Linked DNA regions of Coturnix japonica. The protein of the gene in region 1 purifies or fractionates together with the protein of each later gene. This does not show direct contact. Links are inferred from orthologs where the notes say so. Each region holds a gene or a part of one and is shown on either strand. Other genes may lie near its edges.

Region 1 (4,274 bases):
ATACACGCTTGGCCATGGGAATGCCACCTCCAGACCTGGGGGGAGAGCGGCACAAACCGCCCTCACCACAGTTGTGCCACTTCAGCCCTGCTGGAAATGAAAAAGGGAAGGAAGGGGTGGGGGCATTCATCAACTATGCCATGTTATTCACCACATCTTGCAGACCGTTAGAGCGCTCGATAGGTGACACAGCAGAACCGCGGGCCATTAATGCGGTTCATCTTTCTTCCCTCAAACAGGATTTTACATATATGCAAAGGCTTCTGAAAACGGGTTACACAGTTCTTCAGTTAAGACCTCATACACTTTCTCCCTACCCTGTCCCAGTGTTCAAGCATGCTTAACATGTCACCTACAACCTGAGCCGGATTACTGCTCCTCCAAATTCAGTTTATTACTTCTTGATCTGCTCTTAGAAGACACTGAAAACACCTATTCGTTCCCACCTGTAGCATCTTCTTCCATTTCTGAAGTTTGTTGTTGCGCATGTTATTCCTCCCTTAACTACTCCCCTCCTACAGCAAAATGGATCTCTCCAATTAGGTTCTTTCTTAGATGCCTTACCCCCATTATGTCCCCACACACATTATACGACACCGATCTAACTTCCAGGTGCCAGTCCTTCACTCAGCCCATCTCCTTCCAAATGGCAGTACGAAATGGATGTATCCTAACATATGAATTACTCTGAGCTGCCGCTTATTTCACCTCCTCTTCCACCCCTCCTCTTCCATTTTTTTCCCTGCTCGTACAGCCCTTCATTCCCTGAACTCTGCTATCTGTAGCGCACTTGAACGCCCTTATCTTTTACAGGCGAGCGTGCAGTGACTACGTATTTCTGGTTGCGTTTCTGCACACCGAGATACTTTCCATATGCTTCTGAACTCCTAAAATTCCCTACAAGATTAATTTGTTAAACCAATCACTATTTCACAGTAATTCTCACTCTCCGAAAGCTACAACAGTTCACACAATAACGTAACCTGCTGTTTAGAACTGGAATTGCTTTGTGACTTGTTTGCTATTTTGTTGTCCTTTTTGGGGGGGGTGGGGGGGAGATGCATTCAAGTTTGAATACAGAGCTCTCCATTCTCTCCTTCTCAATATAGAACCGTGGCAGTCCAATTACATTAGCTACAAGCAATGAAATAGATCTGAAAGGCGGAACCTGTTCAAATGGTTCTTAAAAGAATACTGGAATGGATAAGAGCAAAGGTGTTTCTGAGGCCTGCCTCAAGGCCACCAGTCATGGCAAGGATGGCAGTGGAAGTGTATGCTGCAAGCTCCCAATGCTTGCTTTTACAAGCAGTAATCAGCATCTTTGAATGGACAGGGAAGAAAGAGTGAGGAGATAAGGAGGCTTTGCTACCCCGAACACACCAAGCAGCAGAGGCAGCACCAGCCAGCAGTGACACTCAGCTGGTGACTTCTGGAGATAACAGGACAGAGCCACCAACCACCCCAGCATCTGAACGGTGTATTCTAGGGCTTTCTGAACCCACGTCAAAGCCAACCTGGGGTGGTGTTCAATGTGAACACATCTAATGCCAATGACCAGAGAGCTTTTATGACGACAGTAGATTCCAAGGGCTACTTTGAGGAACCTGCTGCAGACCTGAAGCTGGTTTGGGGTCGGACCATCCATATAGTGAAGCACAGCCCAGGCCTGGGGTACAGCACAGTCAGGTTCACACGTTTGCACTGCCAGCTATACCAGAGCCTGACCTGCTTTGCTTCCGTTAGCAAAAACAAAAGCAAAAATATGCTATTAGCTATGCCCCTGCATGTGATGCGCTATAAATATACTTACATCTTTTGCCATGTTACCCCAGCCTAGCAGGCAATCCTCTTACAATCCTGCTGCCTGCGGGACGCTGGGACGACGATGCTATTCTCTAGAAAGCAAACACAACCACCATCAGTCAGCTCTCCACAATGAGACGAGGCAAACTTTGCACCGCCCCGATTCCCGTTGTGCTTCAGAACAGAACCCTATGGGAGAGCGCAAAGTTCCCCCCCATGCCCCGTTCTATCGAAGCGACGCCCCCGCTCACAGCCAGCACGTGGGAGCGACGCCCCGCCGCCCACCCTCACGGCTTGTGGTGGGGGTTGCACGGCACGCTCGGGCGGGCCCCATCCCGTCGGCGGGCACACGCAGGCCTCTGGGCCGCCCCCCTCCCTTCCCGCCCGCAGCCGGAGACCGCAGCCGCCGGGGCCTCCGCTCAGCGGCGGGTGGCCACGCCGATGGCGGCTCCGCGGGCGCCTCCCATCCTTCCCTCCGTATCCTGGGGCCGCAGCCGCTCGCACCTGAGCGGCCCAATGCGGAGATCGCCGGCTCCATCCCCCGCCGCCGCTGTCCCCCCAGCCCGTGTCCCGGCGCCGAGCTGCCGCTGCGGAGGCGCCCGACTGCACATGTGCGGCGGGCGGGCGGCGCGCGCGGGCCCGCGAGCCCGGCGGGAGGGGGCAGGGGCGGAGGGAGGGAGCGGGCGCCCAACGGCCGCAATGTGTGTGTATATATGGGGGGGGGCGGCTGGACGCGCTCCGTGCCGGCACGGCGGGGTGTGGGGGGGCGGCGTGCGGGCTGTCACCGTGCGGCCAGAGCACACCTGCACGGGGGGCGGCAGCGGGGAAAGGGGGGGGGGGGGGGGGGTGAACTAAAGCGGCTGTCCCTGCCCGCGATCCCACCGTCCGCTTTCTCTCTCTTCCCTTTCGTTCTATTCCCCGTGGGGATTTGGGGGGGGGGACAGCGCCGGTGAACCGGGGAATGAGGGGGAGCCCGAAAAAAAAAAATTGAAACTTACACTTTTGTGCGTCCCACCGGCGTGACGCTGCGCGCTGACGTCACGGGGTGTAGCGTGCCTTGCACGGGCACACGCGGAGCGCAGCAGCCAACCGGCCGGCACGGCGGGGGCGGAGGGAGCATGCGCGGGATTTTCGCGCTTTCCGACTCCCCGCCCTGCAACGCTGGCGGCGGGAAGCGGCGGCGCCAGGTTGATGTTCGGGCGGGCACGTGGTGTGCGGCCATCAGTGCGGTGACCGGCACATGGCGGGTGGGGATGGGCACAGCTGGGGAGCACGGCAGCCATGGAGGCATCGTCCCTGGAGGTGTCATCATCATCACAGTATCACAGTCTGGTGCGGGTTGGAAGGGACCTTAGAGATCATCGAGTCGAACCCCCGGGATTCGAGTCTCTGTGTAGCAGAGCGGCACTTCTACCACTTGCGCCACAGGGGGATTCGAACCCAGCGCCTTTGGTGTTGCAACGCGGCATTCCTACCACTGCGCCACCGGGGTACGCGGTGTTGAGGAGCTGTGTGGATGTGGCACTGAGAGATGTGGTCAGCAGGCATGGGCTCATAGTTGGACTGGATGGTAGAATCATAGAGCCATAGAATGGCCTGGGTTGAAAAGGACCACAATGATCATCTGGTTTCAACCCCCCTGCTATGTGCAGGGTCACCAACCACCAGACCAGGCTGCCCAGAGCCACATCCAGCCAGCCCTCCAGGGATGGGGCATCCACAACCACCTGTTCCAGTGCGTCACAACCCTCTGTGTGAAAAACTTCCTCCTCTGTGTCTGCCCCACTCATTGCTGTGGGTACCACGGCCACGCATTGCCCTGCACTGATAGCCGCCATGGCCCCATCTCCCCATCCTTCCTTCCTTGTGGGACATGGTAGCAGCAGCTTCTCTGCAAACAAGAATTGAGCACGTTTCAGAATGAGAACAGATTACAACTCCAAACGTCAGTTTGCTGCGACTCCACAGCGGACACAGATATGAGGAGAACGTGTTTTAACTAACCTGCAATCAGAAACCTGCCAGAGAACGTGCACAGGGACCCATTCTGATTGTTGGAAATTGAAGCCAAGCCATCTTAAGAGAGGGACCTGTGAGAGCTCCTTAAATACAGCCCTCATACCAGCTGATAAGCTTGTCAGCATTTGGCCTCCTTGGGTGGAACTATCTCCCAATTCTCAAATTTCTGCTCTATTTTAAGAAATAAAAATACAGCTTGCCACTGTAACCCTAAGAGTTTTGCCATTCCCTGATGTAGGTTGTATCCCCCAAGGCAGGATCAGCTGTCCATAGGCACTCCGGTCACTTGATTGTCCAGTTTGTCCTTTATCTGCAGAAATTGGGATTTCTTAGTCTCTCTTGGTGGCTCACCGTCCCTACCATCAAGAAGCCTCTCCCCACTGGCAGTAGTAATTACTCAATGGAGTCTGTGGGAGATCCAAAGAAACACGCTTCCTGCTCCGTGAAGCTGG
Region 2 (4,421 bases), about 78 Mb from region 1:
ATTTAAAGTTGATTACTTATAAATACGAACTTTCGATCACTGTATAGACTGTTAAAAAAATTGATTTCTTATTACCTATTGTTAAATAAACTGTGTGAGACAGACGGCCTGTTCTTAATGATTCTCCCTGCGCTCCCACACATGTTGCTTGCTGAGAAGCCAGTGGGGTGGCAGGAGATGTGCCACGTCCGATGGTCGCCTTGTAGGAGTTGGAGAGTTTATTTAATGTATATGACTGCTTTTAAAATGCAAATCTACGCTAAGGGGATGCGGAGTGACCCGTTAGTCTTATAAATGGATGCTTTTTTGGTACGGCCCTGCATTTGTGTTTGTTCATGGCAATGTATTTTACCAAAGAAACGAGGTCTGACCTCATCAGCTGACCTGCACCCGGCCAGTCTGGGAGCAGCTGATGTTCAGAAGACCTATTTTGCATTTTGAAATGAGAACTATTGTTTGGATATGTGATATTAAAAGATCCTATTTCACTTGGAATACATTGTTCAGCTTTTGGCACCAAAGTGTGAGCCTGAGAGAGAACCTGGTGTGGATATTCTGTAGATGCTGTGCTGCAGTAGCTGATGGGTGCCCCATTAATGCTGTTGCACCCACTTATGGGCTGCTTGAGGTCACTTAGCATGGAAAGGCTGAAGTGCTCTTGATCTCACCTGACAGCAGTGCGTGCAGGCGGCTGCCTCTTAATTCAAGCACATTCCCCTATTTGGGGGATGTCCTGTACAGAAATGCTTCAACTAGGGAGCGTGTGTGTAGCAAAGCCAGTTGTGTGTGCCAGCTGTAACTGCATGCACGTGCTGTTGAACCTGGTGTGTCGTTCACTGCCTGCGAGCCATATGTGCAGAGTAGGCAGGGAGGGCTTCCCAGAGCACAGCTTTACCCCATGGGTGTGTGGGGAGTAACTTGTACCTGTGTTTTGTGCACCTGAAGATCTGGCTGTGGCCAGAGCACAGCACAGGCGTTGGGATTGTCCCTGTGTCCACCAAGCCCAGGTAATGACACGAGCAAGCTGCCTTCAGGAAAAGATGGATGGAAGATGATGGAGTGAGGAGCCTGTCTGCACGGGAATCTCAGTCAAGTGCCAAACAAAAGCCATGGTCTATTGCAAAGTGGACAGATGTTCGTGGCTGTATGAAATTTGGAATAAAAAGCTTGATATTCAGATACAAGTACGATGATTGGTCTAACACAGGAGCATAAGCTGTGAATAGAAAGGTGTATTTGATGGCAAGATGTCAGCCTGTCTTCATAAGGGAGGTGCTCCAGCCTTCTGACCATCTTTGTGCCCTCCTCTGGACCCCCTCCAGCAGCTCCCTGTCTTTCTTGTACTGGGGGCTCCATACCATGATGCAGTACTTAGATGGGGCCTCGCAAGAGCAGAGCAGAGAGGGACAACCACCTCCCTGTCCCTGCTGGCCACCCCTCTCTGATGGAGCCCGGGACGCCGTAAGGTCCCTGTAAGGCCGCCATCATGCTCTGGGCCACGCCCCGCCCCCTTCTAGCGGAAATAGAACTACGCCTCCCGTCGTGCCCCGCGGGGAGTGAGGCGGGAACAAGCTCTTCTCCGATTGGCTCATTTTCTTCCGTCTGTGGCCAATCGGGTGCGCGGCTGCGGGGGAGGTAGTGCTCCACGCGCGTGAGGCGGGCAAGCGTCCTGGGAGCCATGGAGCAGGAGCAACAGCAGCAACAGCAGCAACAGCAGCAAGGGGAGGTGAGCGGCGGCGGGGCCGGGGCGGTACCGCACTGCGAGAGGCCTCCTGCTGCCACAGCCGCGCAGTGCTCTGCAAAGCCCCGCAGCGTGGGCTGGGGGGGGCTGGGCCGCCCTGTGCTCCACGGGAGACGCGCGGCCCGGGCTGTGGCGGCCGTTTAACGGCTGCGGGGGGGCGGTTCGCCTCCCTGTGTGGAGCCCGATGTGGCGTCAGTGGGGTGTTGGGGGAGGGAGTGACGGAGGGGGCGCCGCCGGGGGGGGATGCATCGCAGCTTTCGGGCTCTTTTGGTTCCGGAGCAGCGATCCCGAGTTATTCGCTTCCTGCGAGCTGAAGGAAGGAGCGTCCGCAGAAAGGGCTGCGAAGGAGGTGGATTTGCTGCTGGTCCGTCATCACAATTCGTTATAAATTCAACTCTGGAGAAAGCTGGTCCAGCTGATGTTTAGTCTGTATTAGTTTTGTGAGCTTTGGTGGCCGGAGCCTGTAGCTCGGTACGCTGTGGAAAGCTCGCTGTGGCTTTGACGGCTTGAGGAGAGCCACTAAGATGATCCGAGGGTTGGGCACCTCTCCTGTGAGGAAAGGTTGAGGGAACTGGGCTTGTTTAGCTTGGAGAAGAGAAGGCTCCAGGGAGACCTCATTGCAGCCTTCCAGTATTTGAAAGGAGCACATAAATAAGAGGGAGAACAACTGTTTGAGTCTGGACAGTGATAGGACAAAGAGGAATGGTTTTAAACTGAAACAGGGTTAGAGATGAGGAGGTAGGTTTTCACACAGAGGGAGGTGACACACTGGAACAGGTTGCCCAAGGAGGCTGTGGATGCCCCATCCCTGGAGGCATTCAAGGCCAGGCTGGATGTGGCTCTGGGCAGCCTGGTCTGGTGACTGGCGGCCCTGCATATAGCAGGGGGGTTGAAACTGGATGATCTTTGAGGTCCTTTTCAACCCAGGCCATTCTATGCTTCTGTGATTCTTTAGATTTCTGAATCTGGGATTGTTGCGTGGATTTCTTGCACAGTCCAAGGCTTCTCTTGGGTCTAGACGTCCTCTCAGCAGTGAAGACAAGCTAGTAAACATTTGGCATAAGGTGTTTGTTTTAAAGCAGACTGGTTGTTTTGTCAGGCAGCGTCTTCCATTTGCAACAAAACTTCATCTTTGGAGAAGGCGGAGGTGGAAGGTGAGGAGGAGGAGGAGGAAGAAGAGGAGGATGATGACTTGGACATGTTTGGAGGCTATGACAGCTTCCGGAGCTACAACAGCAGCATGGGCAGTGACAGCAGCTCCTGCCTGGAAGAGTCTAGTGATGATGAGGTGGCAGATCGGGAAGTCAGAGGTCTTCCACTCTCCCCTGTGCACCAGCCACCCACAAGCCGGATCACAGAAGACAGCGGCTCTGAGCCAGGTAGTGCCCGTTCTCCTGTGTATGATGGTAAGAATGAGAGCTGGAGGAAACCAAAGCATGCTCTGGGAGCAGAACTGAACTGATAATGCATGTTCTGTAATACATGGAGGAGCTGCTATGTGTAGTGGGGATTTCCTGGGCTTAGATCTGTCACTTATAAAGCACTGGTCCTGCTGACTGCTTGTATCTTTGTGCTTTTCCACTCAGCTGTGTGCGAGATGTGTGGGATTGTGGGAACCAGGGAGGCTTTTTTCTCCAAGACCAAACGTTTCTGCAGTGTATCATGCTCTAGAAGCTATTCATCCAACTCCAAGAAGGCCAGCATTCTGGCCAGACTGCAGGTGAGTCAAAATCCCTCCTTCCCCAGGGGTGGAGTAGAAAGCCCATGTAGAGGGATGGATTTTTGCTGTCTTGTGAGGTCTCAGACTGCTATTACCAGTGGTTTATTTCTGCTTGAAGCCCCCAGAGAAAAGCATACCAACTGTGCAGTGCTGTTTTCTAGAAGCTGGGGAAGGGCATAGTTATATTTTATTTGTTGTATCTTCTGGTTCCTGAGAGCACTAATAGTAATCTGTAAATCATCCCTGGAGAGATGTGTGCCTCCTCCTGTCCAGTTGCAAGCTTCTCTCCCTTCCTATTCCACTAATATTCCTTCTTTTGTAGGGGAAGCCACCAACAAAGAAAGCTAAAGTCCTGCACAAGGCAGCCTGGTCTGCCAAGATCGGGGCCTTCCTCCATTCACAGGGCACGGGGCAGCTCGCAGATGGGACTCTGACAGGCCAGGACGGTGAGTGTAGGCTAGTCATGAGGAGGTATATCTTTAGAAGGGGTAACTGTAAGACTAATAGCCCCATGCTTCACTCTGATTTCTCTGAGATGCTGTGGCCCCAGAGATACCCCCCCAGCTCCATTTCTCAAGAGCAAGTTGACACCATTTGTGGGATCTAGTTCCTCTTCAGGGAAAAGGCACTCAAATACAGAGTCCATGCTCTCTGGGACAGAGTGCTTTGCCCTTGTTGTAGCCCGGAGGTAACTGAGTACTGTGTGCCTTTTAGATAAACCTCTTTGCCTTACTTTCTTCTCTTGTCTGCTCCTAGCACTAGTCCTGGGCTTTGACTGGGGAAAGTACCTGCAGGAACATGGCTTCAAGGCAGCTCCAGTCAGCTGCTTCAAACACGTGAGTTCTTTGCTGTGCCTCACAACATGTGTGGTACACTTTGCATGCACTGGACTCTCCTGTGCTGAGTGGAGAGAGGCCTGGGGAGAGGGTTCTTGAGCACTGCTTGTGAGGGAGGGAGCTG
Region 3 (3,259 bases), on another chromosome or scaffold:
GTCATCCTTCATGCATCTTATTCAGTAGTTGTTGAGATCTTGGATTTTTTATTTTGTTTTTTAACTGGAAAAAAATCAGTGCTGATAGAAACCTGAGATTTTTTCTGAGAAGCCCTTTGTTAAGATGTCAAAAATAGGCTACAAATTATCTGATCTCGAGGAATTTTTTTTGCTTAAATGATGTTTTATGATGGGCTTATATGCAGTTGTTACTTTATGTTATCCAGGTCTAATAGTTCTCATGGCATTCAGTGTATCATCTTTATTTTTTCTCCCCTTCTCCAGAAGTGGCTTCCGTTAACTCAGGACAAGGTGACTGCTCAGTAAATATGGCAACAATCTCTCCATTGGCTTCTCCAGCCAACCTACTACAGCAGACCGAGGACCAAATTCCCTCAAACTTTGAAGGACCATTTGTGAATTTGCTGCCTCCTCTGCTTCAGGAAGATTATTTGCTGAGCCTCGGGGATGAAGAAGGCATCAGTGATCTCTTTGATGCTTATGATTTAGAGAAACTTCCTTCGTTGGTGGATGAATTTATATACAGCTGATTCTCTTAAATGAAGTGCGTATCTAATCTGTGTTTTTTAATGGAATTGGAACATGTCCATTCATTCTGTTGTCCCCTGCTTACCATAAAAAAGCATTATCGAATAAACTAGGCTCTTGAACGCTGCTGATATTTTAATGAAATTCTCCCTAGAATACTACGAAAAGGTCTTCTCCTTGACCCTAAGCTCCAGTGCCTTGCGAGTCAGCAAGGGCAAGCAGGTGACCATGGAAGTTCTGTATTCACACTCCCCCAGTCTCTGCTTTCCATGACAAGTGGGGTTAATGGAGAAGGGCTCAATGAACTGGCTTAGTCGCTAAGAACAATTTTATAATAGTATTTCAGGTCGTGCCTTCTGCAGAGAATGCATGTCTTCTGAGTGTCACAACATGGATTGTAACTGCAGTAAGCATAAATATGAAGTAATGCAGAAGTGCGAATTGAGCTTCTTCAGCTACTTGTGGGAATGTTTAAATTGCTGTCATAACGCTCGTTTTGAGCTGCATATAATGTCTCATTATGAGGTCAAATACTTACGTCCTTAAAAGCTTTTAATAAAGAAAATACACTGTAAATGTAGTGTATATCGCGGATATTGAAAAGTATGAAGTTCTGCCACTTCTCGTAGTAATCACAGATTTTTAATACTGCTTGTGTGTGTGTGTGTATGTGTGTGTGAAAGTAGTTTGTGTTGGTTGGTTGTTGTTTTTTAAACTAGAACGAAGATGCACAGTTCGATTTCACTGCCCCCAGTGTGTGCATTAGAACTGGTACATAATTTTTTTGTGGTACTAAGTGGGGCTTTGCGTTAAGTGCCTACTAGAGATGCACTGTGGGTTTTCCCCTCTATGGAAAACACTTATGCCAAGCTTTGTTCAATATATCATATTTATCTCAGTGGGTTTGCTTCCTCTGCTTCCAGCTTTTTATAATTCTCTTCTCCAGCAAAATGGAACTATTTTTTTTCTTTTTTTTTTTTTTCTTTCCCAAAGTACATAATTGTAAGTACCACATCAACTGAATTGCATTTATTTTTTTGAAGATCTTTGGTAGAATAGGATAATACCAATATTTATTTTTCTGAAAGTGAGAGGAATTCTAAGAAGTCTTACTTTTTTTTTTCTTTTTTCTTTTTTTTTTTTTTTTGAGTGTAAAGTACGTTGCCACGTTCTGGGCTAAATTAATGTTGATTAGATGATGCCCGTGTAATCCTTTTGTTTGCATTATTGTTGTGCTTATCTGACATATTCAGAGAATTAGTACTATTTGTACTGTAGTAGAATATTATGTACGCAGGTATTCTGGTACCATTGAGTTGCTGCTATGAAAGCTCACACATGAAAAGGCAAGAAGCCACAGTACTAAAAAGAAAACTATATGACTGTGTGAGTTTTGGAATATAACAAATGTATAAAGGGCAACACGTAAAGAACTGTTAAACAGTGTTAAGTGTGTGTTTATATGTACAAATGTGTGCATAGATCATTCAGCAGTTGTATTTAAGTTGATATATGTTTCCACTCACACTTTAGTTATCAAGCAGTTTTGTATAATAGATTTAACTTGTAAACACTGCCAGAATATTTTTTAGCTGGTTTGTAATTTTTTAAGAGTTTGGGTGGTTTTTTTTTTTTGGTTTTTTTTTTGTTGTTGTTTTGGGTTTTTTTTGTTTGTTTGTTTTAGATGTGGATCTGTAAATAAAATTGTAGTAATTTAAAGTTTCCGTCTTGTGGAAGAGGAAAGTAAAAGTTGTGTGAGCATGAAGATTTGTGAGACAAAGGGGCACTTTTGAAGGGGGGAGAGAAAATGAAGACTAATGCAGACCATCTCTTTATGTACAAATTAAACACCTGTCCCAATGTGCGTGGGCTAAATACTAATCTAATTTAGCTTTGCATTGTATGCTAGTTTTAAAAAAATTCTGTAAAATACTGTAAAAAAAAAAAAAAAAAGGAAAAAATACAACAACAAAAAAAAGCTTTTATGGCAAGTTTTGTAAATAGATTTATTAAAGGATGACCTGTTCTCTAGCTGTGATCTTACCACTTCAGATGGGTGTAATTTGAATAAATTTTGTATGGTAATGAATCAATAAAAAGGATTTTTTAAAGAGTTTAGATTTGTCTACTGCTTTTTAAAACCATTTCTGGTGCCTATCATGCTTATGAGTGGAAACTAGCTGGTTGTGTTGTTATTTATTAGTGCTTCTCATACTTATTTTGCATAGCTATGTTTCAATTCTATTTCTTTTTCATTATACTAACAAGTTATGGCTTTAAGTTATTATTATTATTATTTTTTAAACCAGTGTGAAACAAGAAAAAAAAAGATGCCAGACACACATAGTAGGAGATCCAGAAACTGGAAAACCATAGGTTTACTCTCATTGATTTCCTCCCCCTAAATTATCGGATACATCTTGGACATTTCATAAAAGCCTGGTTATTCTAGGATTAAATAGCATGAAAGAAATGGTTGAGGATGTTAGCTTTCCTCCTGCTAATTTTCCAGAAGTCTCTTAATTGTAGCTTTGGGGAAAAAAAAAAAAAAAAGGGAAGGAGTTCTATTTACTTATGAGTCACCTCCAACACTCTCATACACCCAGGTGCACATTTACAAACTTGTTTCCCCTTTCTGGTCCTGGTGCTGCACCTTTCTGGATACATCATCATTGATAAAGAGTTAAAAAACAGAAAGTATCGGGATAAT

The links.
Region 2: the proteins of TFDP1 (region 1) and L3MBTL2 purify together in Homo sapiens (affinity purification with mass spectrometry; 4 studies listed by BioGRID and IntAct, counting the BioPlex papers as one, with this or other methods). This does not show direct contact. The link is inferred for Coturnix japonica from reciprocal best matches to the Homo sapiens genes TFDP1 and L3MBTL2.
Region 3: the proteins of TFDP1 (region 1) and E2F3 purify together in Homo sapiens (affinity purification with mass spectrometry; 3 studies listed by BioGRID and IntAct, with this or other methods). This does not show direct contact. The link is inferred for Coturnix japonica from reciprocal best matches to the Homo sapiens genes TFDP1 and E2F3.

What each region holds. Positions count from the first base shown.
Region 1 is NC_029516.1:123,726,365-123,730,638, forward strand, and holds the start of TFDP1 (transcription factor Dp-1), read right to left. Parts: upstream 2,918-4,274; 5' UTR 2,802-2,917; intron 2,436-2,801; exon of another isoform or gene 2,308-2,435; intron 1,896-2,307; 5' UTR 1,823-1,895; coding exon 1,811-1,822; intron 1-1,810. UniProt on the Homo sapiens protein: Can stimulate E2F-dependent transcription.
Region 2 is NC_029516.1:45,392,505-45,396,925, reverse strand, and holds the start of L3MBTL2 (lethal(3)malignant brain tumor-like protein 2), read left to right. Parts: upstream 1-1,595; 5' UTR 1,596-1,678; coding exon 1,679-1,726; intron 1,727-2,840; coding exon 2,841-3,147; intron 3,148-3,327; coding exon 3,328-3,461; intron 3,462-3,783; coding exon 3,784-3,907; intron 3,908-4,217; coding exon 4,218-4,297; intron 4,298-4,421. UniProt on the Homo sapiens protein: Putative Polycomb group (PcG) protein. PcG proteins maintain the transcriptionally repressive state of genes, probably via a modification of chromatin, rendering it heritably changed in its expressibility.
Region 3 is NC_029517.1:69,387,756-69,391,014, forward strand, and holds the end of E2F3 (transcription factor E2F3), read left to right. Parts: intron 1-285; coding exon 286-551; 3' UTR 552-2,663; downstream 2,664-3,259.